Linked DNA regions of Arabidopsis thaliana. The protein of the gene in region 3 purifies or fractionates together with the protein of the main gene of each other region. This does not show direct contact. Each region holds a gene or a part of one and is shown on either strand. Other genes may lie near its edges.

Region 1 (5,547 bases), about 19 Mb from region 3:
TTGAGTGTATCAGAAGCCTTTTTGAGCTCAATTTCAAGCTCCATCATGGTGCTCGCTTCGCTCGCACGAATAACAGCAGCCAAAGCTCGTATAGCCGCGACGGCTTCAGCCAGATCCGGTTGTTTTCTCCAGTTATTGAACTCTTCAATTACATTAAACGACTTCTCGTTCCCGAGATCAGTTACGGATAAGTCATGCTGGGCATCGCCTGAGACGCCGCCAACGGCGGCTTGAGCTTGGGCTAGCCAGTCGCTTGTAATGACACCGTGATGCGCCGCGCGAGTTTGGTAATAAGCGGAGATGGAATCAGGGTTTTGAAAAGGACCTCGTGTTGTATCCGCCATTGGAGGTGAATTCGAGCTTCGTCGCTCGTCGAGAATAAACGACGGTGATCTTCTCCACATTGATTTTTTTTTTTCTTGAGAAAATTCTTCAAAATGGAAAAATTGAAGATAATATACTGTCGCTTTCTCCAGAAATATCATATGAAAAATAAATATAAGGCCCATTAATAATATAAGGCCCATTTATAAGCCCAATAAATTTACTAATTTTCATATCTTCATATGACATGCCATGGAATGGAAGTACAAAATATTCTAAAATTAAATTAGCTGATCACAATTGCCTGATCAAATTCAAAACACAAGTTTTCTTTTTTTTAATAACTCAAACTGATCACACTTTTCTTCAAAAGGGTCTTTAAGTTCATCTTCATGGTCAGGTCCTTTTAGTTGCGGAACTCGTCCATGAAGCTCTTGTGGAACTCTGTCAGACGATTCACTATCGCTGGAATCTTGTCTTCTTGTGGAAGTATTGTGCATCTAAAGTGCCATGTTCCAGGAACCTAAACCACAATGAATCCAAAACCCATTATTCAAGTTCGATCCTTTTGTAAGACATTTAAAGTTATGAAGATTTGGTTATATTTTACCTGTCCAAAGCCAGAACCAGGGACTACAACTACACCAGTAGCATTGAGAAGGCGTTTGCAGTAGAACGCATCTGGTGCAGTTTTTTCAGCCTCAGCAGCTTCGATAGCCTTTTGAGGAAGGTTAATTCGCGGGAAGAGATACATTGCTCCTTCGGCTCTGTTACATGTAACACCTTCTAAACTGTTGAGAGCGTCTTCCAAAGTCTGCAAGTTCATTTTCAAGCTTGTGACATTATATACAAAGAGACTGAAAAATGTCGTTAGAGGGTATTGTAATCTTCGACTAACCTTTGCACGTTTAGCCATGGATGAGAGAATTCCATCTCTTTCTGCCATGTATGAGTCATATGAGTCATCACCAGGCTGATCAAATACAATATTAGACTTTTTAGTCATAATCTGTTGCAAGAACTTAGCGAAAACCGATTAGAGAGAACTAGGGTGTTACCTTGGGTGGGCTCATGACAAGGCTAGCAAGAATTTGACCAGAGATGTTAGAACAAAGATTCACAGAAGCCATTTTGTATATCTGTTCTCTTACATCAGAAGTGAATCCAGTAACCTCCATGTAACCTCCTCTTTTTCCACATTCTCCATAATATCCTATCAACAGAAGAATATTAAAAACAAAAACCCCATTTTTTAGATGACAAGCATTGGACAGTAAAAGTTGTTCTTTTACCTTTGGAGACTGATTGGAACGAGACTAACGAGATATCTTTTTCTCCATAGCCCAAAGACCGAGCCACTTTCTTGAAAGAATGGAACTTTTTGTCAGGGACGTAAACATTTTCTTGGTAGACTTCATCAGCTAAAAGAACCAAACCCTCTTGCTTGCAGAAATTAACAATGTCACGCTGGTTTTCTTCCGCAAGAACCTAACCAGAATAAGAACGCAAGATTAGAAGAATGTTACATTTTGTTAGGCTAGTCTTGAAAATCTGTTTGTACCTGCCCAGTTGGGTTACCGGGGTTTATGACAACCAAGGCCCTTACAGAGATGCCCTTGGACCTAGCTTCCTCTAGTTGCTTCTTAAGGTCAGATATTTCCAGTCCCCATCCTGTTGCTTCATCAAGATAGTACGGAACCTAAGAAGTACAAATTTCAAAAACTTGTACCAAAAAACAACATTACTCCATGATGATTATATGAACATACCAAAGATCCACCATGAAGGGCAATTGAAGCCGAGTACAATGGATACTGAGGAATCGGGGAAAGAATACCATCTTTCTCTGAGCTCAAGAGAAGTTGCATCATCATGTGAACCTATAGAGTAAAAAACACCAAAAACACTTAGCATGAATCCTTTAAAAGAACTTACTCTAACTCTATGAGATAACGTTTTCGTTTTGATTGTTACCGCTGGACTTGCACCATCAGTCAAGAAAATATCATTTGGATCAGCAGGGAAACCATCACGTGCTTCGATTCCAGCTGCAATTACATCACGTAAACCCTTGATACCCTGAGGCAGAACAAAAAATGAAACATTCAGCAACATAAGAACCATCTCAAGAAAGGGTTTAGGACTTTTAACTAGACTCTAATAACAAACCTGGCTATGACTGTAAGCCCCAGTTGCTCTTCCGGGAATATGGTCCAAAATCCTCCATGCTCGGTCAATTGAATCGGTACTGATAGCAGAGTAGAAATCAAATGTTAAGCAATCTTAAACCGTGAGCATACATGTCCTAAAGCTGAAATATAGCAAGGAAAACCTCACCTGAACAAACCATGGGTTTCAGACTCATCCAAAAGACTTGCGTGGTCACACAATGCGAGAACCTGAGGCATATAGATGATAGACGTTATATCTCTGTGGCTGATATGACAACCAAACTAGTACCAAAAACATTCACTTACCTCACGGAAGAACTTTATAGGCAGCTGACCAAGAGATTGAGGATTCCCAATGTTGCAATAGATTATCTGCCAAAAGTAATGAAGAATTCTAAGTTCCTTGCACAAAGAGTTTGAGAACAGGTAACATCAACACTAAACTAATCATAAATCCGTCAAAACTGCCGATAAAGAAAGAGATTTTACCTCATCAAAGGGATAAGCATCCTTATTAGTCTTCAAGTCTTCTTGTAACTTCTGTAAGATGGAAGCAAAAAGCAAACAAAAATCAATTAGCATTAAAAACAATTTTACAGATTTTGTTCTTGGTTTTACAAGACAAAGCACATGCATCTCTGACCTGAGCAATGTTGACAATTTCTCCTCGAACAGCATACTCACATTTCAGAACCTGTTCCCCGGAAAAGAAAAAAAACTCTTAGTTAACAATAAAACCAACTTCTCTGTAATATAAAGTACAAAGAAGTTATGCAAAGCTTGTCGATTTCATCGTTGGGAATCACAACGAGAAGCAAAGGATAAACCTTTGGCGTTAAATCAGACAACCACAGTAAAAAATTGAAACTTTTTTACTAAATTAGAAACAAATCCAGATCAACCCTGAAACCCACAATTCAAAAACGCAATAAACCAGCTAGAGAATTAGAAACCGACCTTGGGATTGATGGAGTCAAGAGTAACGGGAAGAGAAGAAGTGGAATCAGAAGCAGACATCTCCGAAGTAGAAGAGAAGAAACGAGACAGAGCAGGAGGAGAAGAAGCAAGGGGACGAGGTTGAGGAGAGAGAAAGCTTGGACTTTTGTGGTGATGTTGACGACGAGAATGGTCGACGAGACCTTTAGCTTGGTTAATCAAGAATCTCCGCATCTGTGAATCAGCTTTATACTAGGAACGTGCTCTTTAAGCCCTAGGATTGAAAATTCTCTCACGAGGAAACAAGGGTCCCAATATCCAGTGCCTTGCACACCGAATTTTGCCTTGTCCTCCACGCTCAGAAATTGCTTTTTCGTTTTTTCTTTTCGAAAATCTAATTGATGAAGATATTTGTAGGGGTTTTTTTTAGGCGGCTAATTTTGTTGATTTATCTGTTAAACACACGACTAATCCCAAAAAAAGACATGTCTTTTATCAAAAAAAGATGTCTGAAGTCTATCTTCCGTTGACTTAATTATCCAAAAGGACCAAAATTGAATAATCCAATCACAGTCGTAATCTAATTTGGGGATAAATAGATACTTATAAAACCTACAGCTAATTTGAAAGTTATAAATTTTTAGAAATCTCTAAATTTAAATAAATCACAACAACATGTAGCAGCACATTGCTAACGATGAGGTTTTTTTTGGGCTACATAATTGGGCCCTAAAAAGGTCGGTAAAATCGTGATTTAAAGCCCATTATTTGTTTATATCCACGTCAACAAAACGATATCGTATTAGGTTGGACGAGAATAAAACCCTAGGAATTAGAAAATTTGTACAACGTCAAAACATCGAAGATTTTGATCCAACGTATACCAAGAGTTTCGGAGACGACGTCGTTTTGTCTCTGCGCCGCGTTCTTAGTCTGAGCTCACGCTTGTTCGTTTCTCCTCTAACGTCAACTGTGTTTTTGCATCCTCAAAGGTTTGTGATACACCTTATTGTTTCTGTTCTTTTGTACAAGCTTCACATGGATTAGTGTAAAGTCTTAGAATTGGGACTCGGAATTTATTGTTATGTTTTAGGTTATTCAACCCAGTTATGGTATCGTTTTGAAGTAGAGGTAGAAACCCTAATTTTTGGGGTCTGTAAATTTGGAGAAAAAATTGAACCTTTCCCTTTTTTGTTATATTGTGTAATTTGGGACTAATAGTTCTTCGAAGCTGAGTTTTTTTGTGTGTAAATTTTGTAGGGTTTAACATAGTTGGGGCTAGGAATTTTCATGGTTTCTGTTGGTTCTAAATCATTGCCATCTAGGAGGCACAGGACCATTGAGGAAGATAGCTTGATGGGTGAACGAGGAAAGTCTAGTAACAATCACAGTGAAAGGAATAAGGGAATGCGTAGGAAGGACCATAAGGGTAACCGTGGATTTGATGTAGATAGCAGCAAGAAGAACCAATCCGGTGGTGCCCCCAATGTAAAGCCAGCATCAAAGAAACACTCCGAATTCGAACATCAGAATCAATTTGTCAGGTAAAGGAGATTTTTAACCAAGGGCCTTTGCTCTAATTTATAGTCGAAATTTTGTTGTTGTGAGAAGTGGTAGTGATTTGGGTGTATCTTTTTCAGGAAAGAGATTGATCCAGAGACTTCAAAGTATTTCTCTGAGATTGCCAATCTCTTTGATAGTAATGAAGTTGAATTAGAGGAACGTTCAGTAATATGTGGAAATGCCCTTGAAGAAACAAGAGGGAGGGAGTATGAAATTGCTACAGACTATATCATAAGTCATGTCTTGCAAACTCTACTTGAGGGATGTGAACTTGACCAACTCTGCAGTTTCATACGAAATTCTGCTAGTGTGTTCCCAGCCATTGCAATGGATAGATCTGGTTCTCATGTCGCAGAGTCTGCTCTCAAATCCTTGGCCACACATCTAGAAAATCCAGACGCCTATTCTGTTATTGAGGAGGCTTTGCATTCTATATGCAAGGTACTTTATACAATTTTTACTGGCTTTGACAATCATATTAAGGTATCCAGATTATTGCTTCTAGTCTAGTAATTGACCTCAATTTTGATGGTGAAATATTTCCCCTGGTCAG
Region 2 (6,209 bases), 2.5 Mb from region 3:
TCTCTTCATTGTGATTTCTCTTCTTGTAAATCCGTTAGGATTCTTGAAAGCTCGTATCTTATTCTTGTGACAGTAACTGAGACAATCTTGGATAGAGATATGAGTTAGATAACTAGAGACTTCTAAAGCGTGTTGCTTTATAGACCAAGATTTGTGTGTGTTTGAAGAAATAGTTATTGGGATCTAATTACGTGATCTTACTTTGACTGCTGCTATAATAATCAGATTTTGAGTCACTTACCTTATCATTTACTGATGATGATATTACTCAGCAGCATCTACATTATCATATGTACAGTACACATTACCTAACTCATGTGCATGCTTTGAAGTTTAAGAGATGGTGGCCATGTGAATAGAGAACGTGACTACTGTCTACATTTTACTAAGGGAATTTGGAGGTATTAGCGTAATTCTCCAATTTCAGAAAGAATAAATTGCAGGTAACAGCTGTTTTGTCTCTCAACTAATCACTACTTTTCTCCACAATCTTTAATCTTATGCAGTTATTTATATTTTCAAACGAAAATGATTCTGTGAAATCGAAACTTTGAACATGGAATTCAACAATGGTTCAATCTTGTGTTTTCTTGATGAGATTACATTTTGACTAACCGTTTATAAGAAACTCTCTCAATTTATATTACGGTTTTTCACTATAAAGAGAACAGAACAAAAAGTGAATAAGAAAGAGAGCACTAACTAATGCTCTCACATCTTAGCTTCTGTAAACACAAAGTCGATGAAAAAGAAACGGCATGGGACCTTTTTCTTATTATTACTCATATAATCTATAGAGGGATCTTGAAAACAGAATGCTTAGTCGCGGAACTCGTCCATGAAGCTCTGGTGGAACGCAGTTAGACGATCAACAATCGCTGGAATCTTATCCTCTTGGGGAAGTATAGTGCACCTGAAATGCCATGTTCCAGGTACCTACATCAAACCGAACAAAGACATAATCAATATCAGCAAGTGAGGTTTTAGTTTTGGTTCTTTGGAGAAAAAGCTATTTCTTTTTTTCAAACCTGTCTAAAGCCAGAACCAGGGACAACGACTATTCCAGTAGCTTTTAGAAGGCGTTTGCAGTAGAAATTGTCTGGTGCTGTCTTTTCCGCCTCAGCAGCTGCAATTGCCTTTTGTGGAAGGTGAAGGCAAGGGAATAGATACATAGCTCCTTCTGCTCTATTGCATGTAACTCCCTCTAGCTTGTTCAGAGCCTCTTCAAGAGTCTGCAAGGTTAGAGTTCAAACACTTTAAGAACAGAAAGTTCTAATCTTGAATATTCCTAGTTGTCTATTAAATGGCTAACCTTTGCACGTCTTGCCAAAGATGAGAGAATTCCATCCTTCTCTGCTATGTATGATTCATAGGAGTCGTCACCAGGCTGATCAAATTTAATAAAAGCTATTAAGGTCAATTATCGATGTGCAAGTCCAAGCCAACAGGTGGAAACTGAATCAATTGTGATGATAAAGTCATATAGATGTTTTATACCTTGGGTGGGCTCATGATGAGGCTAGCAAGAATTTGACCAGAGATGTTGGAACAAAGATTCACAGAAGCCATTTTGTATATCTGCTCTCTTACATCAGAAGTGAATCCAGTAACCTCCATGTAACCACCTCTTTTCCCACACTCTCCATAGTACCCTGTCAGAAATAATGAATTCAGTTTTCTGACTAGTTTCCCATCGCAATGATCAGAATTATCAATTGACTAAGAGATTTGTTTTTGTATCAAACCTTTGGAGACAGATTGGAAAGAGACTAAGGCAAGATCCTTCTCACCGTAGCCCATAGAGCGGGCTACTTTCTTGAAGGAATGGAACTTTTTGTCAGGGACATAGACATTCTCTTGATAAACCTCGTCTGCTAAAAGAACTAAACCCTCTTGCTTGCAGAACTTAACAACGTCACGCTGGTTTTCTTCCGAAAGAACCTTTTACCAGAACAAAGCAGAGGTCAAATTTAGACGAAACTATGAAATTCACATCGGTATAAATTTGTGAGTTTTAGTCTTGAAGATTAATTTACCTGCCCTGTCGGGTTTCCAGGGTTAATGACAGCCAAAGCTCTCACAGTGATGCCCTTTGACCTAGCATCTTCAAGTTGTTTCTTCAGCTCAGATATTTCAAGACCCCATCCTGATGCTTCATCAAGGTAGTATGGAACCTACCAGAAGAACATGACGACAATGAGAAGAAAGACAAAAGAAACTTTGGAGACAGATTCATTTTCCCATTTGATATAGTAATGCGTCAAAATGATATCATCATCATAAACAAAGATAACGAACATACCAAAGTTCCACCGTGAAGGGCAATTGAAGCTGAGTACAATGGATACTGAGGAATAGGACAAAGGATTCCATCTTTCTCTGAAGTTATGAGAAGTTGCATCATCATATGAACCTAGAAGGAGAGGAACATCACTGTCAACTTCAAAACAAGGTGTTCCAGATTCTACGAGTTACGAGAAGATTAGTTTGATAATCCTTACCCCTGGACTTGCACCATCTGTCATGAATATATCATTAGGATCAGCAGGGAAACCATCACGGGCTTCGATTCCATCAGCAATTGCATCACGTAACCCCTTGATACCCTGAGGAAGAACGGAAGATTAAGAGAGGGAATCATCATTGAGAGAGAAATGCTGTCAAGATTCACAATGCCACAAACCTGGCTGTGGCTGTAAGCACCAGTCGCTCTCCCGGGAATTTGGTCCAGAATCTTCCAAGCACGCTCAATCGAATCAGAACTGATAAAATTTGTAAAGTTGAATGTTAAAAAATCTTACACCACAGAATCAAAACAACTAAGAAACATATAAACCACTTTTGATACCTGAACAAACCGTGTGTTGCACTCTCATCCAACAGGGCTGTGTAGGAACATAAAGCAAGAACCTGAGATATAAATGTTACAAGCTAACTCATGATTAACATATGGAACAAACCAGCACTATAAAAGCTCACTTATTTACCTCTCTGAAGAATGTTATAGGCTGTTGACCAAGAGATTGAGGATTCCCGATATTACAGTAGATAATCTGCCAAAAACATAGAACCTTGTAAGCTTCACTCATGAAAAGAATCAAGCTTGAAAACACGAAAAGGACTAAACCGATTATAACGTACCTCATCAAAGGGATAAGCGTCCTTGTTAGTCTTCAAATCTTCTTGCAATTTCTGTAAGATGGAAACAGAAATCAAAATGAGCAAAACAGTCTCCACTAGAAATATACAATCAAGGACAAAGATGTTAACCTGAGCAATGTTGACAATTTCTCCACGGACAGCATACTCACATTTGATAACCTGAGAACCCCCAAAAAGAAACCATATTGTTAGAATAAAAAAAACCAAACAAAACATCAGTCACTAAAGCTAGATTTAAGATGCAGAACTGTTCCTCGACAATAAACTATTCAATTGTAAAGTATGAGCTAATCACAAGGAAGAACAAAAATGAAGAATTCAGAAAGCAACAGACTTTTTTAATATACGCAAAAAGCTGAAGAACAAAATGGATTCTAAATAGTCCTATAAACAAAGGATCACCTAGTAATATAATACGTAAAAGAAATAAATCCATCAAGGGTCAATGATCAAGATGCGGAGACGAGGATACGAATCATAATATGCATAAACTCGAAACATGATGCCCAAAAAGAACACAAGCAGGTGATCAATAAACCCTAAATCAAGTACAGAGCAATCTCGAAGAAATTAAACGAAGCTCTTCACTTTACCAAATCATAAATCACAAAATTTCATCGGAGTATAAAACAAAATCAAAGCTTGCAAAAAGACACAGATCAATCGAGGAAACATAATCCAAAACACAGAACACAAATCACTAACAAACAGCAACCCAAAAAGGCGAGAATAAAGGAAAAATTAAGAAAAAAACGGACCTTGGGGTTGATGGTGTCAAGAGTAACGGGAAGAGAGGAAGAGGAATCAGAAGCAGACATATCGGAAGAAGAAGAAGAAGACAAGTGGCGCGATGAAGAATCGGAAGGAGCAGAAAAAGGAGGAATAAGAGAGACAAAGCTGAGATTTTTGTGATGATGAAGTTGACGACGACGACTCTGATCTATGAGATTTTTAGCTTGGCCAATCACGAATCTCCGCATTTGTGATTGTGTGGTATGGGATTTATACTAAAAAGCTTGTTGGCTTGTTTCTCAATCTAAATTTAGATTTCGATAGTTTTGCTCGAAAGACGAAACTTCCCAATTCCTGTCTTCTCTCTCTCTCCAATTCACACTGATTTTGACATTTTTTTGTCCGTCCACGGATTTAGAATTTATCTTGTTTTCCTTTATTTTCAACGGATTTCTTTAAACCCTTTTCAACGAATATTGAATGTCTTTCTTTTTTTCTTTCTTACCAAATACTCTGTCAAAAGCCATCTATATATTTATCTTTTCAACGAAAAATCAATCTAAAAAAAGAATGTAATAAACGTAAATGAGATTTTTTTTTAATTTCAAACAAAGGAATGAGATTATTATTATTGTTTTGTTTTGTTTTGTGTGTTTTCAATCCATAATCCGTAATCTCGAGTCTTTTAGCCGTTTATGATATTTTCTTAGTCAAAAAATTTGTCTAAAGAGAGGTCGTAATAAATGAAGGTGGTTTTTTCTTCTTCTTTTTAATTTAGTTTGGTACTAATAATAATAATGAACAATTAATTGGAGATAAAGAACTTCTGGATCGTGGATTATTCAGACAAAACCATGTGTTTTATTGGTCGGAGTCGGCGCGTAAAACGCTGTTAGAAATTGGACAAAATTTGGCCATTATGGGCCGAGTTACGGTTTAGAGACTCTCTTCCGGCCCAACCGGTTCGTGGGAAAAATTCATCATATTATACATGGGATCAGCAAAACGACGTCATTTTGGCGGCGGTTTTCTCAGCGTTTCCTAATAACAGTAATATTATTATACATGGGATCAGCAAAACGACGTCATTTTTGAGTAATGTGTTGGATGCCACTTTGTTTCTTCTTGGTCCAAAAGTTTGTAAACAATCTCAACAATCTGTATCGGTGTTTTAGAGAAGTACAAACTTACATGTCAAAAGGAATCTAGTGCTCACAGCTGTGATTACTTCTTTCATTGTTGCTGTTTTGCAGTGAGGAGTAATCACTGGATATCGAGATAGGCAGCTAAATAGTCAGGATATTGTGAGGTTTCCTGCAGAACAACTTTCAATTTTTTACGGATCTGAGGATGCATTTTTGAAGCATATAGAACCGAGAACATAGATAAAGAGGTTGATCATTTTATATTTAAGGTTTTAAGCACCACTGAGAACAACATGCTATGGCTGAGGATAAGTCTGCTGAAGTCAAATAAAAGAAACCACAAAGCAGAGAAAAGAAGAAGAACTCAAAAGATTAAAGAGGTTGAGAATAGTTTTGGAAAGTTAGACTACTCGAGCTAGGAGGCGTTTTAAATTTTCATCCTATCTTGATCGATCAATAAGATTAAAAGATGAGTTCATATATTTCAAGTAGATTACAGCATTAAAAGCACACATGTCTAGGTACCTATTCTACAAAAAAAACGAAAGTAGAGGATCTAAATAAGGACAAAAAAAGAACTGGAATTTTAAGGTTTTCTTGATGTTGTGATCTGCTGTTGTTTCCTACTTGCTTTAACATCTACCGGTGGATTACACCTGATACAAAAAGAAACACTTTTTGATGTCAATTACACCTAAAACTCATCTTTGGGGATACATAAAAAAAAAGAAAAACTAGATTGTGTCTCGTATCTTCTTTACTTGTTCTGTATAGGGTTTGAGCCACTCCTTGGGATTCTTCTGAAGCTATCATTTTCTCCCTTAAGTGGCTCTTTCTTCATCTCCTTGCTTACAGGCAAATCTCTCACAGCTTGACTCGAATGTGTCATCGTTAACAGAGAACGTCCTTCTACACTATACTTGCTGCTAAAGAAAGCTACAAGTAACAGAACCAGAGCCACTGAACAGCATCTCTTCATTCTGAGTTCTCTTCTTGAAATTTCCTTTAGGACTCTTGAAACCTCTTGACTTTTTCTTGTTCTGTTTTTCTGTGAACTGAGAAAATCTTGGATGGAGATGTGTGTTAGAGAAAAGAGAGACGAGAGACTTCTAAAGCTTGTTGGTTTTATAGAATAAGATTTATGTGTGTTTGAACACATAGTTATTGGGA
Region 3 (4,554 bases):
TCAGGTTGGTATAGAAAAGGACATGAGAAGCGTGACCTCTGGTTGATGTTAATGTTCTTGGTCTTCGGTCTTGCGACAAGGATGCCATGTTTATACTCCAAATGCAGTGCGAGTGGAAATGGAGTGATGTACACTGGCTTCTATGTAGGCTTGATTTGTGTTGGCAATTTACTTAAATGGGTGACTTGTCTTGCCTGTTACCATGATTGTAAAACTATGGTTTTGAGAAAAAAGCGTGATGTAGAACAAGCTAAAACTCCTGCTGCTTAAGAGACTTTGGCTGAGATCAATTCAAAGTGTGAATCTTTATAATAAATGGTATAAAAGCAGAAAGGTTATTAGACTTCTCAGCTTCAACGCAAAAGCATAAGAACATGTTGTAAATAGGATTTGCTACTATGCGAATGTGTAATGCTAAAAGAAGACATAGTCGCTCTTGCATTGTGTTACAGAAACATGAGTGAAACAACAGAACATTCTAAAAACTGTAAAAAGCTTTTATTTTTTGATAAATTCAACGATCCTCCAGATTAGTTTTCTTTCCCTTTTCAATTGGCTTTTGACTCAATGACCTTCTTGGCGAAAGAAGGCAAGCAGAATGCAGCTGAATGAATCTGAAACCCCCAAGAAATGAGAGCATAAGCTAATGATTCGAGTGTGTAGACCGCATGAAATGGTATACTGAGAGATTTTTATCTTACCTCGGCATTGTAAAACTTCAAAGGTCCATTTGATTTGCTGGAGCTCTCGTCAATTGGGTTCAGTGGGTGTTTGAAGTCAACATCAGGTCCTTCAGTTGAACAAAGCATAAATCCAATGACCCCACTGAAAATAAGAAAAGTGTGATTCAGGTTAAGTTATAATCACCCAAAAAGGAGAGAGATTGATGTTAAAGGTCATTAAACATGCCTGGGGTATGTTGGAACGCTGGTCCAAGCATAGTTCACAGAACCCTTGAAGATCTCACGGCAGTTGGAAACAATGTCTTCGATGATGTCCATGTGAAGCCACAAGCTTTCAGCTTGAGTGCACACAACTCCACCAGGACGAAGAGCTCTAGCCACAGATTGGAAGAAGGGTTTCTCAAACAGCTCCTTTGCAGGACCTGACAGACAATAAGTAAAGGCTGCTTTTTAGTATTGTTCAACATAACAGTAAGGAATAATGTTGTTTCTGATGACATCTGATGACATCTGATTGTAGTAGTTACCGATTGGATCTGAAGAGTCAACAATAACTGCATCGTATGATCCTTCAGCAGCATTCTTCAAGAAAGCAACACCTGCAACGATTCACCAACCGATCAGTTTGAAACGGCAAAATGTGTTCAACATAACTACATAATGTTTCAGAAAGAGAGAAAAAAGCGGCAGTATTGTACCATCGCCAATGACAAGGTTCACGCGAGGATCCTCATATCCAATTGCTACATCAGGGAAAAATTGCTTAGACACCTGAAAATTACCAGTAGGTGGAAACAAATTAGATAACAAGGTATTTATCTATCGAAATAGAGAAGAAGGAAAGGTGAAAAGTAAGTGACCACTCACGTCGACCACCATTTTATCAATTTCACACATGTCAATCTGCTCAATAGAAGCATGGCGTGCAACTTCCCGCAGGACACCTCCATCTCCTCCTCCAATGACCAAAACCTATGGAAGAACTAGAAAGGCATTGATCAGATACACTCTGGCTTATAGCTTTACTAGCTAAAAGCAAAAACAGCATTTTTAGCTGACCCACTTTACCATAACCCAAAATAGTTAGACTACCCAATTCTGATACTTGGGAGCAAAAGCAATTCTGAATGTAAGAAGCTTGATTATCTAACCTTTTCTGAACCAAGTCCCCCAATAACAAGCTAAAGACTAATCATTTAAGCCCATTGAAATAAGTTTCTTCCGAATCATTATTATAACCCAATAAAGTTACTTGAGTTCTCTAACTTTGCCAGAAGGGAACATGGGACTATGTACCTTTTTTTCTCAGGAGGCCATCAAAGTTTGTACATATAAAAAGCAAAAAATGGTGATCATGAACCTTTTCTCTAGTGGACATTCCTATCACCACCCTGGAATGTAATCATTAATGCCAACTCAAGTAGTTTCTATATACACATCTAATAAAAGGAACTCTGGTTTCTCTATTTCTCCATAACTAATGATTTCATCATCCTACTTTACCGGAGAAGAAAAATGCAAACTTCAAGAAAGACCTTTCATTACATTCCAAAGCTATAAACTTTTGATTACCCACAACACAACACAATCAAGGTCACAGAATCTAGCAAAAGGATTGATTGTATACCTTCTTAGGGTTAGGGATAGAACACAAAGGAAGATGAGTGATCATTTCCTGATAAGCACATTCATCTCTCTCCGTAAGTTGGATTACTCCATCCAAAACCAAAACTTTTCCATATGTTGCAGACTAACCAACACATAAAAAACAAGTCTTTATAAGTATAATCACAGACAAATAAGTTAGGAAAAAACAGAGAAATGATTCTTATTTTTGTTACCTGGAAAACAATAACATCCTGATAATCTGATTTCCCTTGAAACAAAACTTTCTCAACCTTCAATGAGTGTGCCTCTCCTGCATCATCAAACCAATGAAAAAAAAAATCAGCTTTTTAATTTAAGAACCCAGAATTTGTTTTTTGAGAGAGAGAGAGGAAGGAAACAAGACCTGGCCACATAGGACTCATTTCAGAGAACCACCCAGGAATAACAGTGGAGAAACAAGCAGGTTCCTTTTTCTGATCTCCGTTCTCCGTCTCCATGGTAGCGGCGCCGCCGTTATCATCCTCTTCTCTCGGTCTTTTCAAATCGGTGGCAGAGGTTTCTTTAGCGTCCATGGTTATTGCTCTGGTGAATATCTCCGAGAAATGAGAGAGAGGAGGAACTAGGGTTTGTGAGAGGTGGTGATTTTGGTGTGAAGTGAAGCGGAAGATATAAGGAAGAGAAGAGCGTACAACTGAAAATATCATTTCATTTTTTTATTCACTTTTTTTTCAACGTAGCGAAATTATTATGTGATGATAATTCTACTTTTGCCTCGAATATATCGTTTCTTTAACTTTTGGGTCCTTTTTAATGGTTTTTTAAAGAGAAACTTTTTGGCTTTTTATGTCTGGTTTTTTATTCGTGTCTTTAATGCTCACTCGCTTTTTAGCACACGCGCTTTCTCACGTGCAAAATTCTCATACTGTACCACCACCAAACATGGACGGACTAGACTAGAGAATGTTATTTCCATGTTCTCTCAATTGGTTTAGTTACCAATTCCAAACTCTATAATCTATTTTTGTTTTAACTTTATTTGTTGTAAGTAATCTTGTGTAAATTAGTTTTTAACAATATGAAACTTTGTACAGTGATAATAAGATTTGGTACAGCTCCTAGTAGAGGAAGCAATTGGTTCATATGTAGTATTAGCTAAATCTTGGCTCTTGTGGGTTCAAAGCTCAATCAAAGCACATAGGTGCTTATGTTTTGTCAGTCTACAAGGAACTTCTTTTGTTATCATCAGATGCAGCCCGTTGCTCAATATTGGGATGTAGGACTCTCTGAGTCTCAGCTGGAAAGGAAGGCATTTAAACGAAGAAGCAGATTCTCGTGATCTTTGATGAGTTCCTTCGTTCTAGAAATGTCACTAGCGACATACACTCTACAAAAAGAGACCTTAGTAACATCAGGATCAGTTCACGTAGTGTGTTTGTTCTGTGGATTGGTACTTATGAAATGATGAGCATGCCAAACATAACAAGAGAGAAAACAACTCATATCTATATATGGACGCGAACGTCAGTAAAGAGCTTTAAAAACACGTCATACTTGGCAGGTTCATCATGAAATGCTTCCTTCACAGCATTGATGTATGTAACCGCATCCGCATCATCGATAGTAGAATCCGGTGTTTGTATGTAAAGAGCTTTATTATCGATTTGTGTTTGTATTGAGCAGATAATTAGTAAAATCTTAGCATTAGCTTTTACACTGCAGTCTTCTGGTTTTTTTAGTTGCAAAAGTATATAATTGGTAAAATCTGTGAAAATGAAATTTAAAAGCTTTCTATAAATTAAAGACATATGATGAGAAAGTTTTATGATTAGAATGCAGATATTTGTATTAATTTAGTCCAAATCTTGTTTTAAAAAATATACAAAACATATTTAAATTAGAGATATAAATATTGAATTTAATTTTTTTCTATAAAATCTTATTATCAATTTCGTAATTCATATAAGGTTTACTTAAATTAGAAAATATATTTGTTATTAGAATTACTTGACTTTGTTTGTTTTGCTCTGTATTTTTTGGCCAGGCGTAAGTTTGGGCTCTCTTCCTCTCTGTTTTTGTTTCTAGCTGAACTCTGTTTTTTTAGTGTTTCCCCTCTCAGTTTCTTATGCAAACACGACCCAAAAAATATCTACACGGCCCAAATCTCATGTCTTCTTGGTAACGAGGAAATATTTATTTAGTGAAAAAACATTTGATATCAAAGAAACCTCAACAAAAGAAACTATACACTCTCTTTTAGTCTCTT

The links. The genes of interacting proteins can lie anywhere in the genome.
Region 1: the proteins of SPDS1 (region 3) and ALAAT2 fractionate together in Arabidopsis thaliana (co-fractionation; one large-scale study listed by BioGRID). This does not show direct contact.
Region 2: the proteins of SPDS1 (region 3) and AlaAT1 fractionate together in Arabidopsis thaliana (co-fractionation; one large-scale study listed by BioGRID). This does not show direct contact.

What each region holds. Positions count from the first base shown.
Region 1 is NC_003070.9:27,231,755-27,237,301, reverse strand, and holds ALAAT2 (alanine aminotransferase 2), read right to left. Parts: upstream 3,828-5,547; 5' UTR 3,666-3,827; coding exon 3,453-3,665; intron 3,190-3,452; coding exon 3,139-3,189; intron 3,036-3,138; coding exon 2,985-3,035; intron 2,868-2,984; coding exon 2,802-2,867; intron 2,724-2,801; coding exon 2,662-2,723; intron 2,573-2,661; coding exon 2,494-2,572; intron 2,404-2,493; coding exon 2,260-2,403; intron 2,205-2,259; coding exon 2,094-2,204; intron 2,024-2,093; coding exon 1,886-2,023; intron 1,813-1,885; coding exon 1,617-1,812; intron 1,538-1,616; coding exon 1,383-1,537; intron 1,298-1,382; coding exon 1,223-1,297; intron 1,139-1,222; coding exon 935-1,138; intron 848-934; coding exon 731-847; 3' UTR 513-730; downstream 1-512. Other genes in the region: AT1G72340 (NagB/RpiA/CoA transferase-like superfamily protein), read right to left, coding at 1-485; PUM23 (pumilio 23), read left to right, coding at 4,722-4,975, 5,072-5,435.
Region 2 is NC_003070.9:5,920,704-5,926,912, reverse strand, and holds AlaAT1 (alanine aminotransferas), read right to left. Parts: upstream 4,582-6,209; 5' UTR 4,143-4,581; coding exon 3,921-4,142; intron 3,322-3,920; coding exon 3,271-3,321; intron 3,193-3,270; coding exon 3,142-3,192; intron 3,054-3,141; coding exon 2,988-3,053; intron 2,911-2,987; coding exon 2,849-2,910; intron 2,763-2,848; coding exon 2,684-2,762; intron 2,607-2,683; coding exon 2,502-2,606; intron 2,414-2,501; coding exon 2,303-2,413; intron 2,175-2,302; coding exon 2,037-2,174; intron 1,942-2,036; coding exon 1,746-1,941; intron 1,653-1,745; coding exon 1,498-1,652; intron 1,388-1,497; coding exon 1,313-1,387; intron 1,233-1,312; coding exon 1,029-1,232; intron 937-1,028; coding exon 820-936; 3' UTR 513-819; downstream 1-512. Other genes in the region: AT1G17300 (uncharacterized protein), read right to left, coding at 1-9; AT1G17285 (uncharacterized protein), read right to left, coding at 5,626-5,695, 5,801-6,198. UniProt on the Arabidopsis thaliana protein: Is the major alanine aminotransferase in roots that catalyzes the conversion of alanine to pyruvate. Involved in the rapid conversion of alanine to pyruvate during recovery from low-oxygen stress.
Region 3 is NC_003070.9:8,418,719-8,423,272, reverse strand, and holds SPDS1 (spermidine synthase), read right to left. Parts: upstream 2,864-4,554; coding exon 2,695-2,863; intron 2,602-2,694; coding exon 2,525-2,601; intron 2,434-2,524; coding exon 2,311-2,433; exon of another isoform or gene 1,656-2,310; coding exon 1,551-1,655; intron 1,455-1,550; coding exon 1,382-1,454; intron 1,283-1,381; coding exon 1,211-1,282; intron 1,106-1,210; coding exon 910-1,105; coding exon of another isoform or gene 906-909; intron 826-905; coding exon 702-825; intron 615-701; coding exon 549-614; downstream 1-548. Other genes in the region: AT1G23830 (uncharacterized protein), read left to right, coding at 1-270.